Linked DNA regions of Canis lupus familiaris. The protein of the gene in region 1 purifies or fractionates together with the protein of each later gene. This does not show direct contact. Links are inferred from orthologs where the notes say so. Each region holds a gene or a part of one and is shown in the gene's direction. Other genes may lie near its edges.

Evidence for each region. The genes of interacting proteins can lie anywhere in the genome.
Region 2: the proteins of SETD1B (region 1) and WDR82 purify together in Homo sapiens (affinity purification with western blotting; 4 studies listed by BioGRID, with this or other methods). This does not show direct contact. The link is inferred for Canis lupus familiaris from reciprocal best matches to the Homo sapiens genes SETD1B and WDR82.
Region 3: the proteins of SETD1B (region 1) and CXXC1 purify together in Homo sapiens (affinity purification with mass spectrometry; 11 studies listed by BioGRID and IntAct, counting the BioPlex papers as one, with this or other methods). This does not show direct contact. The link is inferred for Canis lupus familiaris from reciprocal best matches to the Homo sapiens genes SETD1B and CXXC1.

Annotation. Positions count from the first base shown.
Region 1 is NC_049247.1:7,679,969-7,684,345, reverse strand, and holds part of SETD1B (histone-lysine N-methyltransferase SETD1B), read left to right. Parts: intron 1-1,127; coding exon 1,128-2,381; intron 2,382-3,240; coding exon 3,241-3,407; intron 3,408-4,377. UniProt on the Homo sapiens protein: Histone methyltransferase that catalyzes methyl group transfer from S-adenosyl-L-methionine to the epsilon-amino group of 'Lys-4' of histone H3 (H3K4) via a non-processive mechanism.
Region 2 is NC_049241.1:37,900,651-37,905,468, forward strand, and holds the start of WDR82 (WD repeat-containing protein 82), read left to right. Parts: upstream 1-1,417; 5' UTR 1,418-1,726; coding exon 1,727-1,887; intron 1,888-2,212; exon of another isoform or gene 2,213-2,346; intron 2,347-4,818. UniProt on the Homo sapiens protein: Regulatory component of the SET1/COMPASS complex implicated in the tethering of this complex to transcriptional start sites of active genes.
Region 3 is NC_049228.1:78,682,736-78,687,678, forward strand, and holds the start of CXXC1 (CXXC-type zinc finger protein 1), read left to right. Parts: upstream 1-1,542; 5' UTR 1,543-2,354; coding exon 2,355-2,357; intron 2,358-2,931; coding exon 2,932-3,050; intron 3,051-3,149; coding exon 3,150-3,250; intron 3,251-3,510; coding exon 3,511-3,746; intron 3,747-3,837; coding exon 3,838-4,032; intron 4,033-4,458; coding exon 4,459-4,485; intron 4,486-4,562; coding exon 4,563-4,808; intron 4,809-4,943. UniProt on the Homo sapiens protein: Transcriptional activator that exhibits a unique DNA binding specificity for CpG unmethylated motifs with a preference for CpGG.

The DNA of each region.
Region 1 (4,377 bases):
GGAGCCTGGCACATTAGCCAGAAGGTGCTAGTCCCTTAAGGGAACCACTGCTGTCACAGGTACTCAGTGCCAGTATTCCCCTCATGGTTTGGTCCTTGGCCCATTAGTCCCAATGGGATGCTCCCAGAAAAGTGGGGGGATGGGAGAGCAGGTGTGCATGGTCATTGTAGTGACAGGCAGGTGAGGGAGGCTCCGGGATGCTGGACCAAGTAAGAGGGGCTGTGGGCACCACCACTTCTGTGGCACTGCACAAAGTGTATTAAAAGCTCTAACATACCATCCAGTGGGACTTTGTGCAACGATAAAGATGCCCTCTGTCTGCCCTGGCCAATACCATAGCTATTAGACACAGTGTTGCTAAGAGCACTTGAAATGTGGCAAGTGCCACTGTGGAACTAAATTTGTAACATTATTTAAGTTTAATTAATTTAAACTTAACCATGTGTGGTTAGTTTGTACCTCTGATAAGTTGTTTAGCAAAAAAACCTGTTGTATTTTGTTTAATTCTGTATTATTTGTCTACAGAACCACAGTCTTGAATATTGTTGTAGGCACTGACAATACAACAGTGGGCCAAACAGACAAAAATAGCTGCCTTCATGGAGCTTACATTCTGGGGCTGGGTGATAAATGACAGCAGATAAGTTAAAAAAATGTATTATATGACGGTGAAGATAAATGCTAGGAGAAGGGCTCTGATAAGTCCTGCAGAAAAGGGACTTGTTGAATTTTTACATTTTATTTTATTTTATTTTATTATTTTATTTTATTTATTTTATTCAGTAGCAGAGCTCATTTTCTTGATCCACAGGACATCACCATTCTAAGGACATAATGCCAAATGCTAGCTAGCAACCATGTCTCCTATGTCTTTCATTTATTCCACCTTCATTTTCAAGCATCTACTGTGTGCCTGACCCTGGGCTGGGCACAGAGAAGCCTTGAGTAGTATAGCTACTACTATACTAGTAGTATAGCTATAGGGGGACAGTCCCCGTATTCAACTCCAGGAGGCTCAGAGGACTATGAGGTCAGGTATTAAGCACATAGTAGGACAGCATAAATAAGGCACCAAGAGTTGTTTGAATGGAATAGTAACGGTCGGGTTTTTGCCTAACTCTTTGCAGAGGATGACCTGGAAGTGGAGCCCCCTCCGCTGCTCTCCTTACCCCTGCAGCCGCCACTACCACCCCCTCGACCACCCCGGCCGCCGAGCCCACCACCAGAGCCCGATACCCCAGACCCTGCACATCCACCTGCCCCTCTGGAGCCCCCTCCGGAGGAGCAGCCCCCGCGTACTCCCGGCCTCTGTGGCAGCCTGGCCAAATCACAGAGCACAGAGATGGTGCCAGCCACACCGAGTGGGGAGCCCCCACTGTCAGGGGGCAGCAGCGGTCTGTCCCTGAGTTCCCCACAGGTGCCTGGCAGCCCCTTCTCCTACCCATCGCAGTCCCCCAGCTTGAGTAGCGGGGGTCTCCCGAGGACACCTGGTCGGGACTTCAGCTTCACACCCACCTTCCCTGAGCCTGGTGGGCCCCTGCTCCTGCCTGTCTGTCCCCTCCCAGCTGGCCGACGTGATGAGCGGTCTGGCCCCCTGGCCTCCCCGGTGCTCCTGGAGACAGGCCTGCCTCTCCCCCTGCCTTTGCCCCTGCCCCTGCCCCTGGCCTTGCCCGTACCTGTCCTGCGGGCCCAGACACGGGCCCCTGCCCAGCTGCCACCTCTGCTGCCAGCACCGCTGACCCCCTGCCCACCCCCCATCAAGAGGAAGCCGGGCAGGCCCCGGCGGTCCCCGCCGGCTGTGCTCTCCTTGGATGGGCCCTTGGTCCGGCCACCGGCGGGGGCTGCCCTTGGCAGGGACCTCCTCCTCCTGCCAGGTCAGCCACAGACCCCTGTCTTTCCCAGTACCCATGACCCCCGGGCCGTAACCCTGGACTTCCGGAACGCGGGGATCCCAGCACCCCCACCACCTCTGCCCCCCCAGCCTCCTCCACCCCCACCTCCACCCCCTGTTGAGCCCACCAAGCTGCCCTTTAAGGAGCTAGAGAACCAGTGGCCCTCCGAGGCCATCCCTCCAGGCCCTCGCGGGCGTGATGATGTCACTGAGGAGTTCATGGACCTGGCCAAGGTTCGGGGGCCCTGGCGCCGGCCGCCTAAGAAGCGCCACGAGGACCTGGTGGCCCCAGCCTCACCTGAACTCTCGCCACCACAACCCCTCTTCCGGCCCCGGTCCGAGTTTGAGGAGATGACCATTCTGTATGACATCTGGAATGGTGGCATCGACGAGGAGGACATCCGCTTCCTGTGTGTCACCTACGAGCGGCTGCTGCAGCAGGACAACGGCATGGACTGGCTCAATGACACCCTCTGGGTCTACCATCCCTATATCCTAGCCGACAGGGCGGGGTCCTCATCCCCCTCTCTGGGCCCGATCTCCCAGGACATCCGTGGAGGCACTAGCACAAATGCCCATCTCCTACCAAGCAGCATCTGTGCTGGCACCACACCAGACTCCATATGGAGTCCTCATTGGCACTTCTAGACACACCTTCTGTGTCAGGCTCATCTCAGCCCCAGAGTTAGGAGGTCTCAGGGCTGATTGTACAACATCCTGGCAGCAGAGGCTGACAGGGCCCACTCTTCCTAGCCCCCCTCATCACCTCATTTAATTTCCCAACAGCTCAGTGAGGTAGGGGGCCGTTATTCATATCTTATATGGAAACTGAGACTCGGGGAAGTTAAGCTACCTGCCTGAAGTCCTACAGCTATGAAGTACCAGAGCTAAGATTTGAACCCAGGCCAGTCTGCCCTCAGAATCTGGGCTCTTAACCATGATGTTGCCCTGATAGTTGGTAATAACCACAGGCAGCACAATCCAGTTGGAGCAGTCATCACCCCCATTATGTCAAACTGATTTACTGAACACTTCCTCTGTTGCAGGAAGTCTGTAAGCACATAATCATGCAGAGAGGCATTGTTATCACCCCAGTTTACTGATGGGGAAACTGAGGCAGGAAATGGCTAAGAAACAGCCAGGGCCATGCAGCTAGGTACCCCTGGCAGAGTTTTGTCCATCAGAGCTGGCCAGTGGGCAGCCTCATGGAGGTGGCTTAGGTTCCAGGGGTGGGAAGAACCCCCTGGAGTTAGGCCTTAGGGTAGAGGCTGGGCCCAGTGGGACTGGTCTCTGGAAGGACTGGGAGGGGCTCTCTAAGAATGTCCATGTGGCCCTTAACCCACACCCACCCACCAGCCTCTCTTCAGCTAAGAAAAAGAAACGGGATGATGGCATCCGTGAGCACGTGACGGGCTGTGCCCGCAGTGAGGGCTTCTATACCATCGACAAGAAGGACAAGCTCAGATACCTCAACAGCAGCCGCGCCAGCACCGACGAACCCCCAGCAGACACCCAGGTACTGCCATCAGGCGCCTAGACACACCGGAGCCACCCAGGCTGCAGTGGCAGGGGGATTTCCTAGCTGGGGTGCCGGGCTATAGGAGGGGTTGTGGAATTTGGCTGGCACAGAGGGTGTTACCCCTCACCAGGCTGCTTAGGTTGGAAAAGAGAGGCGAGGATGGAAAGTGGGAGCCTCTGAGTTTTTCATCAGGGATGTGAGGATAGTGGAGTTGTGTTTCCAGAAAGTTCATTCTTTCCTTTTTAGATTCAGCAAATGTCTGTTGAGTGCGGGTGATTTTAGGCACTGTTCTGGGTCTACAGTAGGGAATGAAAGAAAATCCTTTACAGGAGGTAGGAAATAATCAAGTGAACATATAAACATGGCATTTCAAGTAGGAGAAGCAGGAAAGGAGGTCAGGGATTGGCGAGTCAGAGGGGTCAGAGGTGACAGTTCAGCCAGATCTGAATGGAGTAAAGAAATGAGCCACGTGGATAACTGGGAGAGGCCACAGAAAAGTAGAAAAAGGCTTCGATAAAAACTTAAAACGGAAGCGTGCCTGGCTGGCTCAATTAGTAGAGCATGCGACTCTTGAGATTGTGAGTTCGAGCCTCATGTTGGATGTGGAGCCTACTTAAAAAGTTAAAACAGGAGAGGTACTCGCTAAGTCTGGAAATCATGCACAGAGTGAATAGCATGTGCAAAGGCCCTGAAATGGGAAGGATCTTGGGTGGCATGAGAAAGGGAAGGAAAGTCTAGCTGAGGCCAGAGACAGAGAACAGGTCATCAGGGACTGAAGGCTGTGGCGTTGAGGTTAGATTTGTGTTCTGTGTGTGACAGTGAGCTGCATGGGTGTGGGTGACATGGTTCAACCCATGGTTTCCAAAGCTGCCACTGGCTGCTTTGTGGAGAGTTGGCTGCAGGAGTCCTGAGGGGAGACTAGCATGGTTGCTGCGGTTCCCAGTCCAGACACATAAGTAGGTTTGAC
Region 2 (4,818 bases), on another chromosome or scaffold:
TATGAACTCCCATAGGTTGCACTGAGTTTGACCCCTTGCATAGAAAGTTAAAGCCAAGGTGCCTGGTACCTTTTTTTGTGATCAGATATCACTTTCCTTTGTTAGAGACCAATTTTCCTTCCTTTTAAGGCAATGAATCCTTAAACAAACCACTGAGACAACCCCATTGACTACAAAGAGGGTTATGTAACTGTTTTATATCTTGAATGTGGTGGTGGTTGCACAACTCAATATGGGTGTCAAAACTTATAAATCTATCCATTTAAAAGGTCAGGGTTGTTTGTTTGTTTAAGATTATTTATTTATTCTTGAGAGACACAGAGAAAGGGAGGCAGAGAGACCTAGGCAGAGGGAGAGGGAGAAGCAGGCTCCAAGCAGGGAGCCCGATGTGGGACTTTATCCTGGAACTTTGGGGTCACGCCCTGAGCCCAAGGCAGACGCTCAACTGCTGAGCCACCTAGATGTCCCTAAAAGGCCAGTTTTTTTTTTTACTGCACATAAATGATACCTCGATTAAGAACACCACCGCCAATTCGGTTTACTAACATGGAAAAATGTTTAATATATAATACTGACCTAGGAAAAAAAAGATGGTTGCACTTATAAAGTTCACGTAGAGATGCGAAAAAGGAGGAAATCTGGAGAACTTAAAATTGTATTTTGTTGAATAAGGAGATAAAACTCCATTTAAAAAATTTCCATGCAATTGATGCTATGAGTTCTGAGGCTATAAATGTCTTAAAAAGTGCTTACAAGTGTGTGGAGCTGTACACTTAAAATCCGTTCACTTTATGCACTTCATGTTATGTGTCAATTAAAAAGTTTTTAAGGAAGGCTTAAAGAAAACTTCTGGGTAGGAGTCACACAGGTATATATCCAAATTTTTAAAAAAAGCACTTAAACTTTGTGCAGGCTACTGTATATTACACCTCAAAACAAAACCAAACCAAACCAAACCAAACAACCCACCTGAAACTGAAACTATGCTGGCGCTGTAGTGCACGAGCAGTCAGAGCCCGCCAGCCATAGGTCCACTGACTCACCCCCAGAACAGGCCTCCAGTGGCGCAGCCGACCCCCGCAGTACCTGCTCCCCGTGGCCTGCGGAAGGGGGAGCCTCTAGGGGGGGCTGCGATCCTGGGGAAGGGGGAGCCTCTAAGGGGGACTGCGATCCTGCGCAAAGGCTCACGGCTCCCAGGCACAGCTGCCTCCGGGCCCAGCGGGAAGGCGGTGGACAACCGCGCCCCTCGGGCCCCACTGCGCGCCAGAGAATCGCCGCCTTCGGGCACCCCGCCACTCCACTCCGCTCCTGGGCGGCCGCACTGACGTCACCGCCCCACCGGCCCGCCTCGCGCCCCCGCTCCGCCCCGCCCCCTTTCCCGGCGTGCGCCGCGGTAAGGCTCCTCGCCCTCGGCTTCTGCCTGTCGTCCCAAGATGGCGGACACAATGAGCCGGCGTCGCGCCGGTTGGCCCTGAGGCGACCGTGAGGAGGAACGGTCCGCGAGCCCCCGCAGTCTGGCCCGAAGAGCGTCGCACGTGCAGGAGGAGGAAGGGGAGGAGGTGGGCCGACTGTCGGCTGCCCTTACGCTCGCCGCCGGCGCGGCGCCCGCCCCGCCCGGGTCGGCCCCTCGGCAGGCAGTCAGTCCGCCCGCCCGCTCGCCGCCGGGCCCCGCCCCAGCCCTGCGCCGCCGCCGCCGCCGCCGCCGCCTCCTCCAGCCGCCGCCGCCATGAAGCTGACCGACAGCGTGCTGCGGAGTTTCCGCGTCGCCAAGGTGTTTCGCGAGAACTCGGACAAGATTAACTGCTTCGACTTCAGCCCCAACGGCGAGACGGTCATCTCGAGCAGCGACGACGACTCGATCGTGCTCTACGACTGCCAGGAGGGCAAGTGAGTGCGGCGGTGGCCCTGGGCCCGAGCCCGAGCGTGTCGTCGGCCCGTTCCTCCCTCCCTCCTTCTCTTGGCCCAGCGCTCATCCCGCTGTCCGTCCCCTCCCCCGGCCCCGCCGCCCTCCCCCGGCCTGTTTTGCACTCGCTGCTGTCAGGGCCGCTTCCACTCCGAAGCCGCCCGGGAGACCTTTACTTTTCTTTTAAAAATGAGAGTGGTAAATAATATCCTTATCATTTCGTATGACTTCGGCCTCCTGGAAAAACGCTACTGCCTCGCTCTCCAAACCCCACCTTGACCTTGACCTTTAAACGCCCGGTCCGCCCACCTCGGCCCCGGCAGGCAGCTTTTCCGCTCCTCCGACTCTGTCAAAGGTGCCGGTCAGCTCCGACCCCCGCGCAGAACCGCAGAGGCTGCTCTCCTGCCTCAGTCGGCAGCGTCACAGCTCGCTCTGCCCTCCTCGGTGACCTCGATTCAGCCCTGGCACTCCGCCCATCCCCTGCCCCTCAGCTTCCCGCGGCCTTCTGCCGGAAGGCCGCGTGGGTCGTAGTTCTTAGCTGTCAGGATTTATTTGTTGTGCCTCTTTGGGCCTCCTGTCTTTTCCTTTCTGTTCCAAATCATTCTCTTACTCCCTCAGACCCGATGCCCACGTTTAGTTAACTAATGTAGTTAGTGGTAGTTAACTTTTTAACAACATCAGAAACTTTTCCTTTTTGTCAGGAAAAAAACGAACTTGGCCGTCCCATCCCGACCTGAGTGGGAACCTGCTATGAAAACAAAGAATACATTCTAATCTAACAATTTCATGTTTCCTCTTAGACACTTTTTTAAAAATTACACTTTTTAAGGGTCTGAAATTTGTGTTGCCCCAAGTCCTCTGGAGATCCATTGCACCCCATCTCTGTAAAGTCTTAAAAGCACATTTTGCCCTTTTCTCTGGGCATCTTGTCAGCTTCACCTACCCTTTGTAGACCTGCTTTGCTCTCTCCTTGTTAAATTGTGAGCTCCTTTGGAGCAGAAACTGGTTTAGGCTAGATTTTACTTTCCTCAGCCACCTTCCCCAAGTAGGTTTCCAGGTATTTGGTTTAATTCAGTGGCTACTGGTTTTGTCAGATTTCATTTTGTTACCTGGTTGCAGATCTTAGTTTTTGAGTCCTTGAGGTTTTCTATTCTCCCACTTTCCTTTTGCCTTTTATTTTGTTTTAAAACCAGTGCCTTCTATAAACTTTCGTTTGGAACTTATCTCTTCATTTGTGAATTTGGTTATCTAAAGTAATGCTGGTTTGATTTAAGCTGTATCTTCTCCCCAGTTTTTTTCCCCACGAGAGCTGTGAAAAAGTATTATGTAACTGGTTCTGGATCTGCCTGCAGTATATGGAAGACTGGCCTAAGTGGTGGTCCTGGGGAAAGAGAGAATTGTTAGCTGGACCATTATTCATTTAGTAGATGGATTTCTGTTCAGGTCTGGCCACTTGAATCAGCTTGGAAGAGAGTAACATATAAGTCTGCAGTGAGTGTCAGGGTTGCTGGATTCTGAAGCTAAAAGTAATTTGAAGCTGGCTGACTTAATGTTTAGTGCTTGTGCACAGATTAGAACCTCTTCCTGGAACCTGAGGATGGAGATGTATATTCTCATTCAAAGAAAATAAAGGTTGTGACATGTGACAGCATTTCTTAGTTGTCTTCAAATGTGGCATAATATCTACTCGTTGGAAGCAATGACAATGACTTGGAAGTCCTGTCTTGTTAAAAGTAAAATGCCAAAAAAAAAAAAAAAAAAAAGTAAAATGTTAATTTTATGACAGTGCAGTTTATTTACTCATGTAGCAATTTTACATATTACAAACTTACAGAAAACTTAAAACAGTATTTCAAATTTCCCATATCATCTAGTAATTGGCTACATTTTACCCCTTTTGCTTTATCACTCTATGTAAATATTTAGGTGTGCATTTTTTTCTGAACCATTAGAGAATAAATTGGAGGTATCAAGCCCCTTCTCTCTAAACACTTCAACATGGATTTCCTAAGCAAAAGGACATTCTTTTATATAACCAGAGCACGTTATCCAAATTAGAAAATTTAGCATTGCTATAATAGTATAGGGCATGCTCTTTTAAATTTTCTCTTATCAGTGAATTGTGACATTTGGTCTGTGGCAAGAGTGTGGCCTGGTAGTTAGGTGACCTGGGTTCTAGTTTGGCCTTGTGACCAAGTATATGACCGAGGTCAGATCACTTCTCTGAATATTAGACGTCTTACACCCTAAAGAGTCCATGATCTTTTTTTTTTTTTTTAAATGATAGTCACAGAGAGAGAGAGAGAGAGAGGCAGAGACACAGGCAGAGGGAGAAGCAGGCTCCATGCACTGGGAGCCCGATGTGGGATTCGATCCCGGGTCTCCAGGATTGCGCCCTGGGCCAAAGGCAGGCACTAAACCACTGCGCCACCCAGGGATTCCGAGTCCATGATCTTAAGTGGTAATGTGAAGGGAAAAAAAATTGCCCCTAGTATAAGTCAAACCAACATTGGTAGAAGAGTTACTGCTTTTTCGGAAGGCATAGTAGCTCTACTAAATGGTACTAATGTTAGAATTTGAGCTTGAAAATGGCTAAAACAATGTTCTTTATGCTTCATATTTTCTAGTTTTGTGTTCATTTTGTCCATGTTTTGTTAACATCCACTGAGTGATTTTTCAACATGAAAGAATATAAAAGATTGACTTCTGGGTGATGCAAATTATTCATAGAGCAGGCTTTAATATTATTTATTCATACCTGATCATAAGAATCATAATTTGTGGAAAGAAACTTCCCAAAATATTCATGGAAAAATGTAGTGCATAGGCTTAGTAAAGATCCTGTGAAATGGATGTAAAAATTAGGATCTAGCTTTCAAACTAAGAAGTAATATGAGTTAAAAAATTTTCAGTTA
Region 3 (4,943 bases), on another chromosome or scaffold:
GGGATTAATCAAATCATATTAAAGTATAACAAAGTAAACAATATTAAATTGAAATTAAATGATACACAATACTGAACTGAATAAATTGAATTGAATGAATTGAATCAATATTTTATTTTTTATTTTTATTTTTAAAAAATATTTATTTAGTTATTTATTTATGATAGAGAGAGAGAGAGAGAGAGAGGCAGAGACACAGGAAGAGGGAGAAGCAGGCTCCACGCTGGGAACCCGATGTGGGACTCGATCCTGGGACTCCAGGATCGTGCCCTGGGCCAAAGGCAGGCGCTAAACTTCTGAGCCACCCAGGGATTCCCCTGAACTAATATTTTAAATAAAATTAAATTTAGTAAGTCAAGTCAGTGATGTTAAATTAAATGAGTAATTAATTTAAGTTAAACTTGAACTATATTCCCTTAAATTTACTTTCATACATCAAATTGTAATTAAGTTAAAATTGAATTATTTGAAATTTATTGGTTAAATTTATCTGAGTATCTTACCAACACATGCATATTCATTTATACTAACTAAAGTTAATTTAATACATTAAATGAACTAAATTCGAAGAATTATGTTAATTAAAATAAGTTACAATCAAATTAAGATTAATTCAGTATTAACTAGAAAAAGGAGGCAAGTCTGGATCTGAAGGTCCACTTTGTGGATTAAAGACGGGCTTTAGGGGATCCCTGGGTGGCGCAGCGGTTTGGCGCCTGCCTTTGGCCCAGGGCGCGATCCTGGAGACCCGGGATCGAATCCCACGTCGGGCTCCCGGTGCATGGAGCCTGCTTCTCCCTCTGCCTGTGTCTCTGCCTCTCTCTCTCTCTCTGTGACTATCATAAATAAATAAATAATTCTAAAAAAAAAAAAGAAGAAGAAGAAGACGCGTTTTAAGGAGAGAGGGTCACACAGTCCATGATGCAGCTCCTGTGACTTCGGTTGTCTGTGACGGTGTGGAGGGGCCACGAGTAAAAATGTCTAGGAAAGGTGAAAACAAAAACAAAAATCAGACCCGACACCGCCCTCAGGAGAATCATCAGGAGCAAGTACGTTACTATGATGTCCAGAGCCAAGAAATCCAGAACGACTGTCAGCACCCGGTGACAAGTTTCATTTTCCCCAGGCCCCCCGCCCCCCCAACCTGAATAGAGTCGTGACCCTGAACGCGGACATTCCCTGTGACCCGGGCTCGCGCATCTGCTGGGGGTTGGGGCGGGGGCGCTGACCCGTTAAAACCCGCCCGACCGCTCAGGTTGCCTGAGTTACAGCCTGGCCTTAAGGACGTGTCCAGAGCTCCGACCTGTCCGGTTTTTTTTTTTTTTTTAAATGTACGGAGTCTAATTAAAAAATTGTAAGAACTAACTTCATAGGAGAGAATTGAGTATGTCTGATGGAAGAGAGCCAGAGTGGACGTCACGGGGATCCCGGCGAATCCACATCCCGGCGGTGGCGGGGTCAGGGGAAGACGCGGTGTAGCCGGTGTCTCGGGTTCCGGGGTCTGCTGTGGCTCGGCCCCTTGTCACCAGGGTCGGGCCCTTCACCTGCATCCTTCCGTTCGGAGGGTGACCGCGCTCCCGCAAGGGCCGAGGCTGCAGGGCGCCGGGCTGGGCTGAGGACCTTCGAGGAGGACCCGGGGCGCGAAAGGGTGGTGAGGATGACGTCAGACACAGAACGGGGGAACATGGGCACAGTCCGCTGGCGCCCCATTAACACACGTGGGAGGGAAACGTGAGTGAATGGAAGACGGAGTGTAACTCGAGGCACGTGGTGTTTCGGGAGCAGCCGCTTTTCCTTTGAACTTCTCTGCAGGGCAAGCCGCCATCGTACGGAGTCGATGCCAAAATGGCGGCGCCCTCCTGGAGACCGCGGGTAGGACGCTGCCATGCATTGCCCGTGAACGTACGGACTCGGCCATCTTACGGAATCAGTTTCCAAGATGACGGCATCTGCGTGGAAGCCGCGCACAGGCGCCGCCATATTTCCTGTAACGTTGAGTCCGTACGAGCGGCCACCGTACGGAGTCGGCCGACAAGGTGGCGGTGCCCTCGCGAAAGCGGCCACATAGGTGCGGCCATGTTTCCTACTAGTTTACGGCCCTGACCGCCGTACGGTCTTGGTCGTCAAGATGGTGGCGCCTGAGAGACCGTGGCGGCTCTAGGCGGCGGATCGACTTGTTTGGTGCGGAGCCGACGCATTAGTCCTGCGCAATAAGAGTACGGTGCCCGGGAGGCGCGACCAAAGCGGAAGTAGTTGTGGGCGCCTTTACAACGGCCGCGGACGCCGCCGAGAGGTCTGTGCGGGTTCGCGGGTCGCTGGCGGGGGTCGCAGAGGGGTGCGCCGAGAGCGGAGAGATGGTAAGTACGGGGCCGGGGAGGGTCGGCGGTAGGGGTCGGCGGGTCGGCGGCGGGGGGTCCGTGGGCAGACTCGGGGGGTCTGTGGTGAACCGTCAGGGGCGTCCGCGGGCGCTCGGGCGGGGGCCTGTGGGGAGCCTCAGAGGGGGCTGCGGGTGGAATGTCGGGGTCCGGGGTTCCGAGCTTGTTCCGACGTGTGAGCCACCTGGGAGTTTTGTGACGGGCCCCTGCGCGGCTCCGTGATGGAAGTTAGTGGGGACGCCTTTCGGCAGCTCGTCGGGGGCCCGCTCGGGGACTGCGGGGCGGCGGGACCCGGCGTCTGGGCTGAGCCTGCCCGGCGGCCCGTAGCGAGCGGGGCAGTCGGCGTCGGGCCGGCGGGGAGGCGCGAGGGGGCGGGGCTGCCCGGGCGCTAGTGACCGTGACCGCGACCGTGACCGTGAGCGGGGCGGGGCGGGAGGTCGGGGTGCCGGCGTGGGCCGGGCCGGGAGGGTCGCGAGGAGCCGCGGTGGGAAGCGTGGGCAGACGGTCGCGGTCTGTGGAGGCCGTGGTGGGGCTGCTCTAAGGCACCGTCCCGCAGGAGGGGGACGGCTCCGACCCAGAGCCTCCAGACGCTGGGGAGGACAGCAAGTCGGAGAACGGCGAGAACGCGCCCATCTACTGCATCTGCCGCAAACCAGACATCAACTGCTTCATGATGTGAGCCGGGGAGAGGCGGGCGGGCTGACGCCGGCGAGGTTGGGTGAGGCTGATGGGTGCGGCCCCTCACATCTGCACCACTCACCCCATCCTCTGCAGCGGGTGTGACAACTGCAATGAGTGGTTCCATGGGGACTGCATCCGGATCACTGAGAAGATGGCCAAGGCCATCCGGGAGTGGTACTGTCGGGAGTGCCGAGGTGAGGGGGCGGCCTGGACGGGGGGCACACCCACCTGCCTCCAGGGAGAAGCCTTCAAGGAGGGTGGGTCCCGGGCCGAGGGACTCGGTTTGTGGTGAGCTGCAGCGGAGACTCCAACGGGCGCTTGGCTAGAGCGTCCCCCAGCGGGGTAGCCCTGCCCCGGAGGAGTGACGGGGAGAAGGTGGGGGGGACCAAGATGAAGAGGAACCCTCCGAATCCCTCAGGGTCCACCCACCCTGGCCCCACTGTCTTCCCCACAGAGAAAGACCCCAAGCTGGAAATCCGTTATCGGCACAAGAAGTCACGGGAGCGGGACAGCAATGAGCGAGACGGCAGTGAGCCCCGGGATGAGGGTGGAGGGCGCAAGAGGCCTGCCCCGGATCCAGACCTGCAGCGTCGGGCGGGGTCAGGGACAGGGGTTGGGGCGATGCTTGCTCGGGGCTCTGCTTCGCCCCACAAATCCTCTCCACAGCCCTTGGTGGCCACACCCAGCCAGGTGAGTGGCTGCTGGGGCTGGGATAGGTAAGCTGAGCCTCCCGCAGGCCCCGTACACGTTCCTGATTTTTGTACTGGGCCTCTCCCCTCAGCATCACCAGCAGCAGCAGCAGCAGCAGCAGCAGCAGCAGATCAAACGGTCAGCCCGCATGTGTGGCGAGTGTGAGGCCTGCCGGCGCACCGAAGACTGTGGCCACTGTGACTTTTGTCGGGACATGAAGAAGTTTGGGGGCCCCAACAAGATCCGGCAGAAGTGCCGGCTGCGTCAGTGCCAGCTGCGGGCCCGGGTGAGCATGGGTAGAGCTGGGCAGGGCTGGGGGTGTCAGTGTGTCCAGGAAAGGCTCGTGGAGGCCAGGAGGGGGCAGGCTGGGCGGGTGAGCTGGGGCCTTGCTACACACAGACAGGTGGGAAGGAGCCTGGCCTGTGTAGGTGAACAGGGCGTGACCAGGTGTGTGGGGCTAGCAGGGGCATCCCCGACCCCAGGTGGGCAGGGCAGACCCCCCCCCCCCCCCCCCGGCCATTTTCAGCGGTCAGGCACGTCAGGGCAGGTGGAGCAGGGTTGAGCATGTCCTGGTGATGTGAAGCGGGGGTACTAGGTGTGTCTGGGAGGCAACACAGGGCAGTTGGTGGGCTAGGCTCTTGTGGGTGGGGCTAGGGCAGGGCCACCCTCCATCCACCTGGGGCTGACCTGGGCCTTCCTCCTGCCGGCACAGGAATCGTACAAGTACTTCCCTTCCTCGGTGAGTCCAGCCCCCCAGGGCGGGGCGGGGCATGCGGGCAGGGCGGTCAGGGCCAGTCCTGAGATTCTGCCCTGCAGCTCTCGCCAGTGACGCCCTCAGAGTCCCTGCCACGGCCTCGCAGGCCACTGCCCACCCAGCAGCAGCCACAGCCATCACAGAAGCTGGGGCGCATCCGTGAGGACGAGGGGGCAGTGGCATCATCAGCAGTCAAGGAGCCACCGGAGGCTACGGCTACACCTGAGCCACTCTCAGATGAGGACCTACCACTGGATCCTGACCTGTACCAGGACTTCTGTGCAGGGGCCTTTGATGACCATGGCCTGGTGAGCAGCCAGAGCGTTCCATGGTGGAAGGGTGGAGGTCACAGAAGCGGAGTTTCCGTGGTGAGGAGAGCTGGAAGATAAGGCGGAGTATGGAAGGCTGATCTGGGAACTGAGTGGGTGGGGTGGTCATGGGCG